3 linked regions of the Caenorhabditis elegans genome follow. The protein of the gene in region 2 interacts with the protein of the main gene of each other region in a pairwise test. Each region holds a gene or a part of one and is shown on either strand. Other genes may lie near its edges. The genes, in order: zip-7, ceh-6 and somi-1.

Region 1 (5,354 bases), on a different chromosome or scaffold from region 2:
CAATCAATTTTCTTCCTTTCCTGCTGAAAAATGCATTCTAAGCGCTGAAAAATCGGCGGAATTATGCAATTTTAGTGATTTTTAGATGTTTAGACCCGAAAAAATCATGAAAAAGCTATAGAAAAAATGAAAAAATGCAGAAAATCAGAGAAAACGAGCGAAAAATAATTTGAAAATGAGTTTTTCTGTGCAATTTGCCGTGACGGTGTTTGCACACGACGAAATCTACCGTACCCCCCGGGAAAATATTCAAAACTGGTTTTTCTTGGAATTTCGAGTTTTTTCGACTTTTTCCAGCATTTTGAACGAGTTTTTTGGGAAATTTAACGAGAAATTACTGAAAACGTTATATATTCCGTCGAAAAAGTAGTAAAAATCACTCAGGTGATGCTTTGCCGGGAAAATAATGGAAAAATCATTTTTCCGTCCAATTTTAGGGTACAATTAGCTGAAAAATTGAATTTCAGCATTAATTCTGGTCAAAAGCGGGAGGAAAATCCACGAATACCTCGGAAAATGAGCAAAATTCAGAAATTTCCGGGAAAAAGTCGAGTAAGCTGAAAAACTGTTTTATTATTAGAGAATTTGGATTTTAAAGTTGCTTTAGCTCGAAAATCAGCGAATTTAGCTTGAAAAACATGCCCAGAAAATGCCCAGAAAATCGGAGGAAAATGGGGAAAAATCTGAATACACCTATTTTCTGAGATTTTTCTCATTTTTTCGTGCGGAAAGTGTCAAATTACAGTCGGTACAGCTTCGAAGAGTGAAAAATCGACAAAATACAATCAAAAACTAACAAAAATTAAAGAAAAAACGCGAAAATTCGGAGAAATTAGCGAAAACTGAGCGAAAAATAATTTGAAAATGAGTTTTTCTGTGCATTCTGCCGTGACGGTGTTTGCAGACTCGGAATTGCTTACCGTAGTCGCTCATTTATTTTTTTTGAAAAAATGCATTTTTCTTCAAAAATAGCTATATTTTTACAGAAAATTACAAAAAAAAAGTGACGCAATGAGAGGGTGGTGTGTGGAAATTCGATACAGAAGCAAGGATTTGAATGTGTGTGCAAGAATGAGATGATTTTGTGTGGGAGGGGAGAAGCTTAATAACTCGGCATATTCGCCATGGCAATCGGGTCCATAGTGTCTATAGTGCCCGGATTTTGCAGGAGCAAATGTTGTCTCATCGATTCGTTTTGTAGTTGGAGCTGTTGGACGTAGACTCGCAAGCATTGATTTTCCTGGAGAAAAAATAATTATTAATTGATTGATAAAAATTTTATGCCGTCAGAACTAAGCCTTTTATCAGAGTTACTCTTTATTTTTAGTCCGAAAAAAAAGTAAAGTTAAACTTTAACGAAACAAAAAAGAAAAGCCACTCCCTGGAATTGATCCAACGAGTGCTCACACCGAACTGCGTCCACTACCTACTGCTCCAAACCAACAAATCTTTCCAACACCATTCTTGGTGAACATATCGAAAAGTGGAACACCATTAAGGGAACAAACGTTACTGTACGTGTGCACTAGAGCGCGTTTGCAAAACTATCAAAAAGTACTTTTAAAAGTGTCGGTTATCTACAAAAAGCCATCTGATATTCCCGAAATTTATTGAAAAATTGGGAAAAGTCGGCGTGGGCGCGTTCTCAAAGTTATTGCGTAGCCAGGCTGACACCTGTTGACTGATGACGTCATCAATTAAGCCCTTTTTTGGAAAAAAAAACCCGCCAAAAAAAATGATGCAAAGGATTATTATCTATGGGAAATTTTGAAAACGTACCCTCTCCAAATATGTTACACGAACACTATTGTCCTGATCGACTTTCTTGCGAGATTCTCTGGATTTACGGGCGGCTTCGTTGTTTCGGCGGCGCCGGTCGAGATAGGCCTGGAAAATTGGATTTATTCGAGAGGATTTTGGACTATTAGCTGTCGATTTACGGAGCTCGTGTACTCCTCGTGGAAGAGTTTACACTGGTTTTTTGAAGAAAAAAAAACGGCTGAAAAGCTTGATTTTGGCCAATTTTCACTGATTTTTGTTGGATTTTGATGGTAAATTGTCATTTTATGACATAATTTATAGTTTTTAACTCAAAAATTGCCGATTCAAACGTTAAATACAAGAAAAATCAGCAAAATTGGCATAAAAATACTTTTTTCAAACGAAAACCCAGAGAAATCAACTCCACGAGGAGTACACGGCCTCCGTAAATCGACACGTGGCTAGCTATTAATTCATACGACTTTTTAAATTCATACGACTTTTTAATTCATACGCCTTTTTAAGAAAAATACGGCTAAAAAACTTTATTTTGGATCTTTTTTGCTGATTTTTTTTGTATTTTACATTAAAATTGTCAACTTATCTCGATTTAAATGCAAAATACGAGAAAAATCAGCAAAATTGGTCCAAAATAACGTTTTTTCACTGAAAAATCAGAAAAAAACTCTATTTTCAGTTTAAAAAAATCAATTTTTCAACTTCGTGGCAGTGAAATTAGAGAAAAAACTCGGCCACCACTTTGAAAACCAGCGGAAATTAAAAAAAACAGTTCAATTTTCATAGCAGAACACGGTTTTCTGGCCTCATAAATTGAAATGGAAGAGTTTGCAGAACTAGGCCATTTTGGCTCGGCCATATCTGGGATAGATTTACGTCGCATTGCGTGTCGCGTCGCGGCTCGGATTTGTCCGTGTGGAGTACACGACACTCTCCCACTCGTTGTCCGGCGGGCGATTGTCAATGGAGCGCGAAACATTCAATGAGGAAAACCAGAACCCTGTGGCAGAAGGAATCCAGGAAACCTCGGCCGCCATTTTTTCTCGGCCACATCTAACACTAGCAGATCGGCCGTTTTTTTCTGGTGGCCGAGTTTTCTCATTTCTCGGCCATTTAATCTCTTACCTCATCCTTTTGATTTTCCGGCACCGGAACCGGTTTTTTCTTCTTACTCCCACTGCTGCCACTCTGCTGATTTTGAGACGACGTGGTGGATGACGTGGAAGACGATGACGGGGAAAAAGATGACGTGGCATGGGGATTCGCGTATGGCGCGAAATGTTGAGCAAAAAATGGGAGAGCAGTGGCTGCGGAGTAGTTCTAAGAAAAAAATTTAATTTTTTGTTAAAAAGCATTTTTGAAACAGTAAAAAAATTTTTTTACTTTTTCAAATTTCAGAAAAATTCCAAAAAAAATTACAAACCTTATCAAAAGCTCCTGCTCCATACGGATTCTGTGCGTACATCTGATTGAATGCCTTTATAGAATCCGAATCACACATTCTCGAGGCAGCCAGCTGCTGTTGAATGTCTGTCATCATCTGGAAATAATCTGGAAATTGGTGGAGAATTGGTGGAAAATGGCTAGAAATTTAGGAAAAAGCTTCCAAAGAACACAGTAATAAGTTGAAAAAAATTATAATAAAACAAATTTTTTTGAAACAGAATTTTTTTTAAATTTTCAAAACCAAAACCGTATTACTCAACAGTTACCAAACTATTACACCGGAACTTATGAGCTACCGCATGCTGAGAAAAAGTCTGCACGCAAACAGGACACCTCTACAGGCCCTACTAGACCCGCCTCCTCCCCCATTTGCCCACGGGGTCTCTAAAGACGGGCGGCTCTTTTTATGATGATTTGAACTGTAATGGCGCAATCGTTGCGTCGTTGTTCTCTAACTAACTAACTACCGTCTGCTGTTAGTTGAATAATGTACCGCAAAAGAGATTGGTGGTGGTCCTAAATGTATAACGAGGTGGCAATAGGTGGGCATGTCTTGGAGTTCCGTGGGGAAAACTGGGCATAACTTGAAAAGTGTAAGAGCTAATAAAAAGTTGTCAACCAACAAAATGTTTAAAATCAATTTTGCAATATTTTCATAGTTAAAATCTTTTTGATAACTTCAATAGCTAAGGAGATATAAGCCTTCAAACTTAAAAATCGGTAATTTTAGTTGGAGTTTTGCGCGAAAAACTACCATAACTGAAAAAGTATCGGAGCTAGTGAAAAGTTGCCAACTAAAAAAATGTTCAACATAAATTTATAAATATTTTCCCAGTTGACAACTTTTTGATAGCTACAATGGCTGAGGAGATACTACTTCTTCTGTAAAAAACGCTCGTACTTCAACTTGCTAACAATTTTCCCTTGTAAATTCCACTTGTTAAATGCTTCACATGAAACAGGCACCAATTCAAAAATTCAAAAATTAACACAAAAATCCCAATAAAACTGGTTTATTCAAGTGAAAAATGAGAATCCTGAAAATTATTGTGGCACGGCGAGCTCCTCGTAGTTGCCTTCCTGAAATCAGAATTGTTTCTTTAAAAGTAGGACCTTCCTCATTGCATTATTCGCGCTCTATTGACAATCGCCTGCCGGACAACGCGTGGGAAAGTGTCGTGTACTTCACACGGACAAATCCGAGCCGCGACGCGACACGCAACGCCCCGTAAATCTACTGAGCCAAAATGGCCTAGTTCGGCAAAACTCTTACATTTCAGAATAGGAGGGAAGGCAGAAACCTGTGGTACGTATCCCAAATCAGCAAAATTAATTAAACAATGCGTTGCGGTCGCGTTGCGGTCGCGTCGCGGTCACACAACTCACAGTTTCATCCTTCTTCTCCTTTGGAGCCCCTAACTTTGATTTATTTGTTCCTTCCGGAGAATTTGCTGACTTCTTCTTCTTTCCGCCACAATTCATCACCAGAGATCCGAAAATCACAAGAATTGGAAGCACGAGCTGTAAATTTCGGAGCATTTTTTGCAGGCAGGCAGGCAGGCAGGCTTAAACTGACTTGTGCAATCATTTGGCTTCTTCTTCGTTTCAGTGGAATGGAATTTTTAAACAAAATTCGAAACTGATTTTTTCGATTATTGATTTTTAGTTGGCGACTTTGAAAAAAAAACACGTTTTTTTTGAAAATTATTTCCCAGTTTCACGAAAAAATTAAAATTATTTTCAACATTTTTTTCCATTCAATACGTTTTCACGCGTTTCCCCCGATAATATTCAAATTTCCGTATGTCAGAATAGCGGTAAATTCAAAGAAATTACGCAAGTTTTTGGGGTATGTGTACTTGAACATACGCACACACAGATTATTGCGTTACCACATTAGGACCACGGGGGTATAATGAGTTGGGGGGTGTTGGCCTTGTGGCCGTGGAGGTGAAAAACCTCGGCCACTACCAACTTCTAATACGTCTATCTTGGTTCCGGATAAATTTGGAAAAAGTTGTCAACTGCGAATTTGTGGAAAATTTAATTTTCTATAATTTTGTGGTTAGCGATTTTTCAATAGCTTTTTTAGTTTTTAAGATATTTTTAAATTTTAAATTGACAATTAG
Region 2 (6,699 bases):
TTAAATTTTTACATAAATCCAACTAGAGTACCATTGAAATATCTATTTCGGTTATTCACAACAAAAACTCGATTCTAACTGAGTAAAAGATCATCCGAAGACAAGCGGAAATTGGCACAAGCTTTCAATCCGGCTTAGAGGAAAGCGAAATTCGAGATTTATTGAGTGGGAAGATATGGGGAAAAGTGAGAAAACGAACATCTTGCAGCTGGAGTCATAGTTACAGAAATCAAGACAAAACTTTTTTTCAAACAAAAAATAAAAAATTTATCGCGTTAATTTTGATTGATTTCAACTATTACTTGCAGATTAATAAAGTTTTGGAATACTAAAAATCTTGAAAAGCATCCAGACTTAAAAATATGTATGGGACATTTGCCTTATTTTGATCTACATAGTCACACTAGTATGAATATACAATCAAATTATAAAACATGTGCAATAAAACATGATGGAACTTCAGAAAAAAAAACTGGGTTAAACTAAGTGATAGGTCAGTTTAAGAGGCACATTTTCAACCGGAACTTCTTGACAGTTCACAGCAAATTTGAAACCAAATTTTGCAACTTTAGCGATGGAAATGTCTAAAGGATATTAAACAGCGGCAAATTTTCAAGTTGAAAGAAACGAACTCGAAATCTATTTTCCTGAAATAAAAAATATAGAAGGAACCTATCAGGGAATATAACGTCGGTGAGGAAATGAGGATGAAAGTGATGGAAGAAGAGAGAAAGGGGTGCGGGAAGAAGAGTTGAAATTCATTGCTCATGCAAATCTTATGCCGTGTGTCTCTGTATGTATTTGTATGTGTGAGTGCCTTCTTTTTCCAACCATTCTCATTCTTCGCCACCCTCATTTTTGTCTGTTTCCTTTATTCAGTTTTCGATCGTCTCAAGATTTTTGAGAAATTTCATGAAATTCGCTAGGTTTTCGATTTTTTCTACCTTCCAGAAGTAATTTTTTATTTGAAATATGTGTATTGTGTAAAGTTTTCTTGTTAAAAACTTACGGTGTCAACTTCCAACTGCTTTGGGATATTTTATTGCAAACATACACTTCTTTTTTTGTCTACTTTTCTGTCAGAAGAAAAATATATTCGAGTATGAATAACCACTGAATTTACTGTATTTTTTTAGTTTACAATCGATGAAGTTTTCAGCTGTATGGAAAAAAGATGGAAAAGATTTTTCACCAGGTTGTCAATACGTAACGCTCTTTTGCCAAAATCTATTGAAATTATTACATAATAACTATTATTTTAATTGTTATCAAGCGTTGGCTTTTTAATTACCGTCTTTCCTCTAATAGCATTACACTGTATTGCTCAACTTTGGCACCTCATATCTAGATTGTCTTTGGGTTGATCAAAATGTTAGCAACTAACAAAACATTGGGTATTTATTATCTATAGTTTTGTAAAAAAAATAAGTTGTAAAATACTTCAAAAGAACCGAAAAATAGGCTTTCAAAAAGAATAGGCGGATGCAAGATTTTACGATTGTTTTGAAACTTAGAAATCTTCCAATAATGTGTTTCTATAACTTTCAACACCTCTTCAAATAACTCCAAATAAATAAATGTATTTCTAGACACTAAACCCATATCTTCACAATTCTACAGCATCAATGTCTCATGACAGTAGGCGTGACCATCTTTACAAACATATCAAAGAATGGGCGTGTCCTGATGTCAATTCTCGTCGATTGGTTATACGATTACGGTGGCTAGACGAGACGCAGAAAGACCGCTTTCCTGCCAACACATTCCAAGTGGCTCCCGTGTGAAAAAGAGACGCAGCAAAAAGGGAAACGAAGAAGAAGAAGACCGCCCCTCTTTTGACTACTACCTCTTCCTTTTCTCTCTTCATTTTCAACACACACATCCCATCTTTTCCACAGTAGTGGCCACCCCGTTGCTCCTGGACTTCCCAACTGATGCTCATACCTTCGTCGTCATCCATACCGTCTTCTTTATCTGCTTCAGCATCCGATTCTGAGCCATCATCACTGAACGGAAGTGGTATAAGTGATCAGAATATTCTACCTAATTATCATCTTCATCATCATCTAATTAACGAGAACGAGATGGAGGCAGCCAATTATGCACAGGTTAGTTCTTCTTTTTATTCGTTTCCTCCCACAACTGATTTGATTCTGATGAGGACGACATTATACAGCGAGTAGGTCCAAAAAAGGAGGCAAGCGGGGGGGGGGGGGCACAGCATTTGAATTTCAATTTTATGCCAATAAGAATCAGCCCCTCGACTGCCCCATTCAGTTCTTCTACACTTGTTGCCTCAAACTCTAACAGTGTCTTACCGCTGTTACAAAGTTGTATATTGTACATTGTTCTGATAGATTGTTATTTTCTAGGCATAAAGTAACATTCATCTAGAAAATTAGTTGAGCTGATACTCCTATATTTTAAGGTGTCTCTGATAGTACCTCAACTGCTTGTAGATCGACAAATGATGTAGTTGTTTCTTTCATTTGTGTTCTGAAAGTATTAGGTGGAACCGTAAACCCAGAATTCTGATGTTCCTGGCAGTATAAAACTTTTTATATCCTAGACATAAAGTGCCAAGCTTCTGTAATTTAGTTGAGCTAAAACTTCAATAAAGTATTGTTTAGATTAACTACTTGTAGGAATGATAACAGGTAATCTAAATCTATATTTTCACTGGCATTAGGCTTTCATTTATACAATGTTTATTTTGTTATAAAAATTGTGAACTGTAACTCCAGATTTTTGAAATTCTTACAGAGCAGTTTTTTCATTGTGAAACTAAAATAATTAATTTGAAGTTGAAATATTAAACATTTGCTATTATAACTATAAAAAGGTCTACTAAACCGTCAAATTGGAAAATTGATTTCGAAATAATGTGGGGACTAATAAAAACTGCAAAAATTGTTTGGTGAAACCTTACCTACTTTTAGGAATAATCAACAATGCATTTAACTATAATTTTATAAAACTCTTTGAAATTTTTCTCATTGATGTTTTTTAACTGCCAATGACTTGGTAAAAGAAGTATAGAAGGCTTAAGAAACATTTTGGTCCTTGGTCAGTCTAGAATTCATGAAATCGGAGCCGTAATTTTTCATTATACTGGTTTGTAATTATATCCTTTTTAAACACCTCAATCAATATTTGTATTATTTTCCTATTCACTAATGTACCTTCCAAATATCCCAGAACAATACAGTATCACTAACACGAACTGCACGTCATCACATATCATTCTCTCTGTAAAACTTGATGACTCTTTTTCAATCCGATTATCAAAATTTCCGCCCTTTCTTCTGTTTCTAGTACATCTCTCTTCATGTACACAAACTACTACAGTACCCCTTGAGTCTCTCAAAGATCGTTGCATTCGTCTGTCTCCACGTAGATACCATGTATAATAGACTCATGAGAATCTTTGTGGGAAACAGTTATCAACAATTCAATATTATTTTGTCATGTGTGGAGCGAAAACCAACAGAAAAAGGAAGAGTTGATGATGTACTAGAGGGTAGAAAATTGGCAGATGTAGTCCCTAAGAAGGCGCCGTGCTAAAGAGGATTAAGATTGATTGGCCTCTTTTTTTCTCTAAGCTGGGTGTTCATCTGTTCAAGACTAAATTGGATCGAGGCCAAAATTGTAGGGCCAGAAAATTGAACGATTTTATATAAGCAGTGAGGGATGAAATAAGAAGCTCCGGGAACATTGTCACAGTTCATCAGAATACTTTTATTTCATTAATATGGCTGAACTTTCAAAAATTACTCGAAGGAGCTGCGACCCATAATGATGTTACATACAATCGTCTCAATCGATTAGATTTCATAATGAGATATTAAAAATCCTGATTTATGTTGCAAATTTGAACTGTGTGTTCCGTTTTTTCACTGATTTTTCACTGAATATACTTTTTTCAATTGGTAGGCGCACATACCATTTTGAATCCTTTAAAACAAGGAAAGTTATATCTTTTATTTTTAGCACACTTTTTAATAGTTTCGGAACGTTTCTTATTTCAAAAATATTTAATAAGCTGTCACTCGAAGTACCACGTATTTTCAAAAACGACATTACAATTCTAGCTGCAAAATGTTTCAGGTTATCAAACCAACATGCGAGGCATTCCAAGATTGGCCGCATACTCCAATGCTGTATCAACAACCTCAACTTCATTTCATGCTTCCACAACACGATTGGGCATATCCACATCTTGCTCAATCTCTACCTCCTCCACATCATCTAACACCGTCCACTGCAGCAGTTGCTGCTGCAACAATTGCCTCACAAAGTTCAATAATCAATCAAACGTCTGTGGTTACAAGTACACCTTCGTGCCAAATCAAACAGGAAGTTGAACGACCTGAAATTATTCAGAGGTTAATGCCTCCATGGCCACCAGCTTATCAATTTTCTTGTGATGATAGTGGATCAGTGAGTGGAGCTGGTGGACCACATCAGCCATTATCTGATATTTCCGATGATAGTGAACAGACGTGTCCAGATGATTTGGAAGGATTTGCAAAACAATTTAAGCAGAGAAGAATCAAATTAGGGTGAGTGAAAATTTTAAATGTTCTCTACACATAACTGTAAAAAGTTAAACTTTTGAAAATAACAATTTCGATATCTCAAACATTTCGAGGCAACGTTCTGTCAACCAGCTGGTACAATGCCAAAGTTGGGCAGAAAGTTATCCTCAAATTCTGATCAAATTGGAATTTATCAGTTGGCAATTCCTCATATTCTTTCATTTTCATGTTCTTCAATTTCCAGATACACACAAGCAGATGTAGGTGTGGCTCTCGGAACACTCTACGGAAATATATTTTCCCAGACAACAATTTGTCGTTTTGAAGCGCTTCAACTCTCTTTCAAGGTTTGTTGACTTTCATCCACATGACTTTCAACGGAAACTGTTTCTTGTTGCCGACTTTTCTATGTTTTAATTGAATTTAATTTCGTTATAGAATATGTGCAAACTAAAGCCACTTCTATTCAAATGGCTCGAGGAAGCTGATTCAACGACTGGCTCGCCCAATTCTACATTTGAAAAAATGACAGGGCAAGCTGGAAGAAAGAGAAAGAAGAGAACAAGCATTGAGGTAGTTTGTGTTTAAAACTGAAAAATGTTATATACCGGTGTTTCAGGTCAATGTAAAATCTCGTCTTGAATTCCATTTCCAGTCGAATCAGAAGCCAAATGCACAAGAGATTACACAAGTTGCCATGGAGTTGCAGCTTGAGAAAGAGGTAAGGATATTTTTCTATTTTCCGGAATTTTTATTACTGTGAACTTCGAATTTTTTTTACAGTAACTTGACAATGATTTGAGATTTTGATTATTATGAATGAGATTTTGATTATTAATTCATTTAATTAAAGTGTTTCTCTACAAAAAAAAGTGTCCCAATAAAATATAAAGTTTAGGTTTAAGTTTAGTTTAGTACGGTTTAAATACCGTTAATTAAAATTGCAAATGTAGAGTGTGAAAAGGGTGAAGAATGAGGCAAGTGAAAGGGGCGCCTGGAGCAAGTTAAACGCCTACCTCATTAAATTTTTCTGAAACTTCACTTTCTCAAAAGTATAATTTAGGTTGTCCGTGTCTGGTTCTGCAATCGTCGTCAAAAAGAGAAGCGAATAGCTCCAAATCAATACGATGCTCCACATCCAATGGCTTTAAACAATGGATATCCAATGACTGCTGACCTTTTCCCATATCAAGCCGTCGTCAATCATTATACTCAACAGAGCCCGAGACAACAATAGTTTTTTGTGATGCGTATTGATGTAGCAGTAATATAATAATAATAATACTCAAATGAATCACCGGTAATTTATAATGACAGAAAGTTTAATAGTTTTCAAACATCCTTCTCTGAAGAAGACCAACAGTATTTCTTTTCCCCTATTATTTTTTTTGATACAATCCTCTTCACTTCTCACATCATTCTGAAAATGGGTATTCGTTTTTTACAATTATTAATTAGTTCTATTGTGTATCATTTCTAAATTAGTTTCCAAACTTTTTATTTTGTTCGAATTCATTTATTTTATAAATATCTGTACGTTAAAATGGAAGTAGCATATTTTAATTTAGATGTCTGCTGAATATAATTATATATAACTGTCTTTTTTCAGAGTAGGTAAAAATCAGAATTTAAAAAATTCAAAAAAGGAAATTTGATCTAGAGCATAAGCTTTCGAATAACTCATATAACTTTAAAGTTTTAAAAAAGTTCAAAATTTTCAATTTTGCAAATAAAACTGAAAATTACTGAATTAATGTATTTCTCAATTGGACTTGCACACTTTTGCTCTATTATGACAGCTGTATCCGTTATCATTGTCTCAGTTGTCTCTGCATTTATCAAAAATTGTCAACTGTAAAAAGACGTGCAAAATTTTTCTCTATATTTTAATTATTACAACTTTTTGATAACAGTTAAGACATCCGATAAAAGTCTATAAGTCGCCGAGCCGTTGGGGGAAAATCTACTAGAACAACTACGGTAGTTTTGAATTCCCGCACAAATGAATGACCTAGTTGTGGGAATTTCATAAAAATTAGAAATTTGAATTTTTTGCAAATAGGAATAATAATCATAAAAAATTAGAACAATTCTAAAAATTTTAAAAATTTTATTAAGCTATAACAGTTTACTTTGAATATTTAAAGGCAAAGTTCTTCTC
Region 3 (7,627 bases), on a different chromosome or scaffold from region 2:
TCGCTCACTGGAAATGTTTTATTCATTGTAAAACCATGATTTTAATTGTAATTGAAGTATTGAAACTCGAAAAAGTATATAGTAATCAAATAATTTTTATCTTGAAACTTTTGAAACTCACAGAACTTGCAACCACACATCTTCACCATATTTTCGAATAACAAGTTGTCGAATACTTTCATGAATGAAACCAAACTGAAACAAGTTATGAAAGTAATAATTTCTTTAACAGAAGAACACTTTCGCCAATTATTGAATTCTATAAAATATAGTGCGGAATTAATTTCCGCTTTAGAATATTCTAAGTTTTAAACGGACGAATTCTACACATAAACTCAAATTAAATACGGGATATTGAAAGGACTGTTTTCTTTTCAATTTTATTAGAATCTTACCATTTTGAGAAGTTTTTTGAACAGCTGCAGAGAGGAATCTACTCTCGTGAAATGAAATGAATCTATCAAACATTAAATGAAATCGCGTGCCTACCAAATTATGAATATTCTAGTTGCTGTGAAGACCCCGTATCGTGAATTGTTCATGATACTACCACGATACTGGGCGGTCATATGTTCGACTTTCTATTCCTTGTAAACAAATTCAAACATTTTTTTGAGAAAATTGTTCATCTTAAAATGAGAATAAAAGTCTTTTCATAAAATGATGGCAAATCAATAGAAAAATTGTTTCCTATTTTGTGGATAAGGATGTTGGCAAAAATTATATATTTAGAGTAGCACCTGAGTAGATAAAAAGTAGAAATTTGAAGAGGAAAGAAAGAATAAAGGGAACAAGGAAATAAGCCGGGAGAAAACAAGAGGATTTTGTGAAATGTGTGTGGACCTAGCGAGAGATACAAACAATTGGTAATGGTAGGGGGTTTTCTAAACATAAAAATCTCTGAGAAGCTAACTAGACGGTTTGTTGCTAATCACAAAACATGGCACTGGTCATCGTTGGGGGAGAGAAAGATTAGAGCAAGAAATGAACAGAAGAGATGAAAGATGACGTGGCAAAAGAAACGTCATGAGCATACGGAGTTGAAACGTGGAATGAGATATGTTGATGGACCGAGACAAAATCGTTGCCTTTGTCAAAATGTATCAGAATACGATGACAGATTGAATAGTTGATAAAACGGAAAGTTAAAAATTGAGCATTTTAGATGAAAACCTTTAATAGAAATTTTAGAGAATATTTACAAAAGCATTGGTGGGGGTGGAGGTGGTGGTTGGAAGTTATTTCCATTGGAATATCCTCCCATTGAAGATGAACTGGATGCTAACGATTCAAGAAGAGCACCAGTTTCCGAGTTGAGAATGTTCTTGAAATCAATTGATTCGCTCTGAAAAAGAAACAATATTCATCTTTGATGTACATTTTTTATTGACAATGAGAGAAAATTGTCTTAATTTTGTCAAGATTTTCAATTTTTTTAAAATCAATTTTTTGTTTAATTTACAAATGAAAGCATCCATTCCCTTTAACTACCTCATTTTTGTTTTCATTCGAAACACTCAAGAATTCTACAGTATCTAAATGAGCTTCCGGTCTTTTAACTTCAGTATAGTTTATCAACAAAACCTATAGTACAAAATTGATTAGTTAGTACTACTCGGCTACTAGTTTTTACGTTTTTGTGGCAGGTAAACAACTTTTTTCAAGTAGACTGTATTTTACATTTGAAAGAATCATGTGTGGTTTGTTTCTGTTAATTAGTCGGGATAAAGGCAAAATTTTTGAAAAAAAAGAGTAGGCTAGGACATCAAATTTCAGAGTTTACAGAAATATTGAACATTAAGGATAATTTTTTGATGGCATGAGGTCATACGAGTTTTACTGTTAGACTTCAGTAAATGAACACGTCACTGAATAATGGATTTCCCGAAATTTTCGTAGGTCGAAAAGAAAGACCTTCTGAATACAAGTCAGTCAAACGGAAATTTGGAATTTTAATAACAACTTTCAGGATAAATTAATTATCCAGCTGAAATTTTTTTTTGCATTTAAAATTTTAAATTTAAACAATTCACTAACAAAAAAAACAAACCTCTTCTGTGTTGTTTTCCTTCTTCTTTCGTGGCTTCCTTCCTCTCGAGGAGTTTGCTTTATGAGCTGCCAATCGTTCCTGTAGCCGATCTCCACTGATTCCAAGATTCGAAGCTCGCATTCCTTCCAACTTTTGATCCCATTCTGAAAAAAGTAACCGTTTGGGTCGATCTCGATACTATTACCTTTCAAACTTTTAAATTCAGGCTGCGGATGGCACGTGTTTAAATGACGTTTCATGTTTCCCTTGTACACTGTCACAAAATCACAATCTTCGCAGATATAGGCATCTTGAAGTACTGCAGTTTCTGTTGATGTTCTTTCTGTGTTCTCGAGCATTGGTGTCGGGTATGGTTCGTATGCGGAATTGGAATATTCTCCTGGAGAGCACAAGTCTGAAGAGTTGGCTCCATAGAATGAGGAAGATGGAGGTGAAATTTTTGGTGAATTCATCATTCCACCACTCATTGAAGAAGAATCATGATCATTGTATTCATGTTGATACATTTCATTTTGTTCCTTCTTTACCTTCTTTTTTGGAGATTGTTTTTCATGAGCTTCAACTCGATGCCTTTTCATTGGCTCTGCACTCTTTCGACACTGATTTATATGTCTTCTGATGTTTCCTTTGTAATGACTAATAAATCGATCACAAAACGGGCAAACTGGTGACATTCCATCGGCTCCGGTGGTTATTGCTCCAGACTTGATAGCTGCATCAGTACCAGGGATCGGTGGATTCACACCTTGCGCAAGGGCATCTAAATAGTTTCTGCCAATTATTTCACGACACTTCTCATTTCGTCCAATGTGCCCCGTGAGACTTCGACGTGATGGATAGACACCTCGACAAGCCATACACATCACGCGTTCTTCGTCACCGCTTTCGAGATCAGTGTTGTTTAGATCAATCCCGAGTGGTGGAGTTCCTGAGCCAGCGGATCCAGATGACGTCAAAGCGGGACTATTCAGAGAATTCTGAAAATGGTATATTTAGCAATATATACAGGAAAATAAATATTTCTCTTTGATGTCCTACAATCCGACAATCTAAACTATGTAGTTAAATTAGATTTATCAAAATTTACATCAAATATCATAAAACAAATATCGTAGAAATATACCATTCCCATATTTTTATGTATTATTTCTAGAGATAATTTAATAAAAGCTTAGTCAACTTTTCCAGCTACATAGCCTTATTTCAGTCTCTTTTTACAACTTATTGCTTGGTTTCTGTTAGAGATTTCATTTAAAAAAATTTAACTACAGTGCTGTAGAAAAAATCAAATATTTTGTCAGCTCACTTATTGATTAAAAAAAAATTTTCAAGATATGATCTGCAGAAGATGAGCAATGCAACAAGCTAACACTTTTTAATTATAAAATTTCAAATGAAAACTCACATCGTCTGAGGGTGAAACAGTTGCAGCTGAAACAGAATTATTCCTTAATGTTTCTGCGCTACTGTTACTGGTGCTTCTATGCACTCCATTCGTAGATTTTTGTGTCGCCGGTCGAAGTGGTTCAGGTCGAAGAACTTGTTGTTGTAATTGTTGTTGTACATTACTTGCTTGTGCAACTTGAGCAGCCAATATAAGCTGTTGAGTATTTGGTACACCGGACAGAGATGGAGCATAAAATTGTTGGCCAGCGGCATAACCGGATGTCCTTGGATAATATGGACTTGAATTTGTAGAAAGCCCTGGTACTGTTGGCATGTAACCTGTCGCAGTGGCACGGTAAGCATATGGTGGATCAAATCGTACTGGAGGATCATAGGAATTACCAACCAATGGTTGAATTTGGGGTTGCTCGAAAAGAACTGATTGAGATAATTGCTTTCCAGACCATTGTTCTGGATAGACAGAATGATCACTCAACATCGCATACGTGGATCCAAACAGTTCTGATGTTCCTGTAACGGCTGACGACGACGTTTGAGCGTGCCAAGGTGAGAAGGATTCAATCTGTTGACCAGACATTTTCCCCTGAAAAATGTTCAATTATTATACTTCACAATGACCTAGATCAGTATTTTTGTACTCTTGTATGCCTCAAAAGTACTCGAGTCTGAGAAGGTGTCGCGCGAGAGGTACAAGTGGCTACTGATTCTGTGGGAAGATAAGGGAACCAGTAAACAGTATGGATGGTTCGGAGAACATAGAGAAAAATAATTTAGGTAGAGAAGGGGAAGATTAATGAATCAACCAGAGGAGAGTAAATCAGACGTGATAAAAAGTGATCATGGAAATGATTGGAGGGTCGATGGAAAGAAAGCTGCGTTGATTGGGGGGAGCGCAATGTGGTGGACACTAAAGATAAGGAGAAGTTTGAGAAATTGAGTTTAATAAAAAATTCGTGAGCTTTAAAAGAAAAAAATGAGACAGACTAATAATGTAGTTTAGTGCTTCAGAAGTATAATCTCGGCAATTCCCGGCAGCTTCTTCCCCAAGTTTGGACCTTTTCAGCTTCTTACCCAACTCTTGCCAACTTCTAACCCAGAGTATGCCCAAGTCTTACCCAACTTCAACAATTCTAGTGTAAACTCCCTCGCCCGTGTCTTGCCCAAGTCTTAGCCAAGTCTTGGCAACTCCTTATAAATGTTTTTATTTTTTGGGCAAGGCTTGGGTAAGAAGTTGCGAAGCTTTGGGTAGGAAGCTGGCGGCAAACGCCGAGAAGATGTGAAATCTATTGAATTTGAACCTTTCCAGCAAATATATGACAGATCTTTAAATTTTTAAATCCAGAATACAAAAATAATCAGAAACATCCTGTTTCCTAAAATAAAAAGTAATTACTCGGAAAGCTCGTACGTGTTCTGGTCTAGATTGATCTTGCTATAAAATAGTTAATGATTTTTAGAAAATTATCACAAAATTAATTGGGCCTTTGGAATTTGTAATAGAAAAACTTACGTAGTATCCGTACCCCAAAGCTTGATAACCATTTAAAAAAAAACAAACGTGGCCTTATTCACAAATTTAGAAATGGTAGTTTTTAAGCTTTCATGAATTTTGAAATTTAAAAAAATTATTAACATTCAAATTCAAGCAGCTGAATTTTTATTCTCAAACACGTATAACAAAACTTCCAGAACTATGGAAAAACTACTAACCGCTCTAGAACTTTTTTCGAAAATTTGCATATACAATTTAAGTTCTATCACTATTATCATAATCCGGTGGCCTCTATAGTCACAAAAATAAAAAGTAAAAGTTGGAAGTTTGGAAATTCCAACTGGTCACAAGACAACGCTCGTAAATCAAACTTTTTCATGAAAAAAGAGAAAACCGAGAGGGGGACAAAAGGTCAAATTAACTTTTAATGCTTAAGATGGCGGCGGTCGAAGCTAATTTGCCGGAGAAATATATGACAGCGAATGGTCTATGAATGTTCTGGAATTTCGACTTAAAAAAAGTAAAAAAGCTAATGAAAAATTTTGTTGAAATATAGAAACTTTCATGTAAGGTAAGAAAAATCGTAGTAGTAGTAACCCGTAGTAAGTGGAGACGTAGAGAGGAGAATGTTGCGAGATGGTATCACATTTCCTTACCCTAACGATGCATGCTATCGGTTCAAGGTCTTCCTGTGCCTCCTACAACTACCCACATACCTACAGTATTCTTTCTTGGAGACTTAGAGACGTTATGGGGGAGCGCCACGGCTCTTCTCTTCCCTCCCACCACTTGTCTGATGTTTTATCAGTGCAATGGACATTGGGGCACCCAAGGTTAATGGGCGGAGCTTTTGGAATGATTGGACCTATGACCGTATCCTTCAGTGTAGGTTAGTGAGTTCATACCTTATTATTCAAATCATTCAAGTTTTCAGCCACTTTTGTGTTGTTATTGTCGTTGCTGGTGATAATGGGTGGTTTGAGCATGCAACTCCCTGTAAGATTATGATCATTTTCTATCATCTCTTTCAGGAGAGAAGACGGAGGTGAAGAAAATGGGAAAGAAAAAAACGAGGGAAAGGGTCAAGAAAGGGATAGAGGGAGGAAGATAAAAGAGAGACTAAAATATAAAGAGAAATAGAGGAAGAGTGACCAATTTGAAAATGAAAGGGAAAGGAGAAATGGGAGGAAAAGAGAAGAAGAAGGAAAAACACAGATGATGAACTTTTTCCGATTTTCCCACGGTATCCTCTCTCTGTTCTTTTGTCAGAATTTTTTAAAGGAAAAGTAGCTTCTGGTAGTTTCTAGCTCTTGCCCCATGCTTTCAATAACCAAATCAGTCGTCCGAATTGCATGGCGAAGGGCTCCGGATGTAGATGTAGCGTCGAAGTCTTCTACAAGCCCCTCCCGAAAACTAAATTTGTGTTAGACGCTCGATGTGTATGCGGGCTCTTGTTGAGACGAACAAACTCACTTATTTGACATTTTGTTCCATGCCATCCGCTAGTCTCCACCACCAGCAATAGAAGCAACAGAAGCAACAGCAGTCACCACACTCTCCCTCCAACAATATTTTTTACAGTAGTCTAGTCAAACGGAAGGGGACGAAAAATCGTCGATCTCCGTCGTGAAAAGGTGAAACATTTCGCGCAAAGTCATGGTGTGTGTGTGGACACAACCGACTGGTCACATGAAATGTGAAAAGCCATAGAAATTCAAGGTTGAAGTTAAGTTAGCGACATTGGATAGTTTTGCTGCTATTCTCACTGCTTCTACTGGTCAAACAAAAAGCAAAGAATCGCCGCGCTAATCACGCAATATTTAAGACCTTGAAAAACTATATTTTTTGCGAGAAAATATCCTTGAAGCACGTAGTTTTGAAACAAAGGTTCCTACTGTACTGGAATCGGATATTTTTCATTTAAATTAGGGAAAAAATTTAATGAAAAAAATATTTGGAATATTGTTGAAAATTTGTTTTTTATTAAAATTTTATAAAATAAAAAAACATCTATGATTTTAGGTTTTGATTTTACTCGGGTTGGGAATTGTCATTTAATTTTTCTCTTACACTCTCTTTGAACAATATGCTCAAATTCAATTTCACGGAAGAATTTTTTTCAGTTTTTTACCGAATCATTGATATAAAACAGAACATGGCCTGAATGTGCCATATTGAAGCTCTTGCTCAACATTTTCTGGGTATATCAAATGTATGGCACAAATTATTTCTGGTTTGGGTTCATCTCTATGCTTTGCGGTAATTGGAGAGGTCAGATTATAATGCGCATGTGGTGGTTCACTGTCACATTGGCTACACCTGTCTAAGTACCTTCATATTTATAAAATCAGATTTTTGATGCTCAGAGCGGTGGTTTTAATCAGAAAAAGAATTTGAAAAAATAATAGATTGGGCCAGCATTTATCCACATAACCTCGGTCAATTAAGGTTTGCAAAAAAGTTTTTAGTTCTATGATGCTTTCATTTTCACTTGAGCTATATAAGTTCACTTAAAACTAAAACGTCTACATTAATATTAAGTTATTATTAAGGTACATAATATTAAGGTACAGAAAATTTTGAATTTTCAAAACTTCGAGGAAGTTTCAAAAATTCAAGAAATTGTGAAAGCTGTTCGAACTGTGAAACATAAAGTTCAATTCGTTTGAAAAATCGCT

Evidence for each region.
Region 1: the proteins of ceh-6 (region 2) and zip-7 interact in a two-hybrid assay, tested with the Caenorhabditis elegans proteins (one large-scale study listed by BioGRID).
Region 3: the proteins of ceh-6 (region 2) and somi-1 interact in a two-hybrid assay, tested with the Caenorhabditis elegans proteins (one large-scale study listed by BioGRID).

What each region holds. Positions count from the first base shown.
Region 1 is NC_003282.8:16,502,351-16,507,704, forward strand, and holds zip-7 (BZIP domain-containing protein), read right to left. Parts: upstream 3,333-5,354; 5' UTR 3,320-3,332; coding exon 3,203-3,319; intron 3,100-3,202; coding exon 2,905-3,099; intron 1,888-2,904; coding exon 1,780-1,887; intron 1,241-1,779; coding exon 1,103-1,240; 3' UTR 560-1,102; downstream 1-559. Other genes in the region: Y51H4A.935 (uncharacterized protein), read right to left, coding at 4,270-4,305, 4,612-4,746, 4,802-4,813.
Region 2 is NC_003279.8:8,497,496-8,504,194, reverse strand, and holds ceh-6 (Homeobox protein ceh-6), read left to right. Parts: upstream 1-1,590; 5' UTR 1,591-1,934; coding exon 1,935-2,108; intron 2,109-4,107; coding exon 4,108-4,562; intron 4,563-4,782; coding exon 4,783-4,885; intron 4,886-4,976; coding exon 4,977-5,111; intron 5,112-5,157; coding exon 5,158-5,259; intron 5,260-5,601; coding exon 5,602-5,775; 3' UTR 5,776-6,083; downstream 6,084-6,699. UniProt on the Caenorhabditis elegans protein: Vital for embryonic development and essential for the proper function of the excretory cell. Required for the transdifferentiation of the Y rectal epithelial cell to the PDA motor neuron during larval development.
Region 3 is NC_003283.11:13,385,451-13,393,077, forward strand, and holds somi-1 (Zinc finger protein somi-1), read right to left. Parts: upstream 5,946-7,627; 5' UTR 5,936-5,945; coding exon 5,855-5,935; intron 4,041-5,854; coding exon 3,456-4,040; intron 3,028-3,455; coding exon 2,235-3,027; intron 2,194-2,234; coding exon 2,051-2,193; intron 1,346-2,050; coding exon 1,199-1,345; 3' UTR 612-1,198; downstream 1-611. Other genes in the region: Soluble guanylate cyclase gcy-34, read right to left, coding at 1-7, 122-195, 396-398. UniProt on the Caenorhabditis elegans protein: DNA-binding protein which binds to the promoters of let-60, lin-14 and lin-28, possibly to regulate genes involved in hypodermal and vulval development.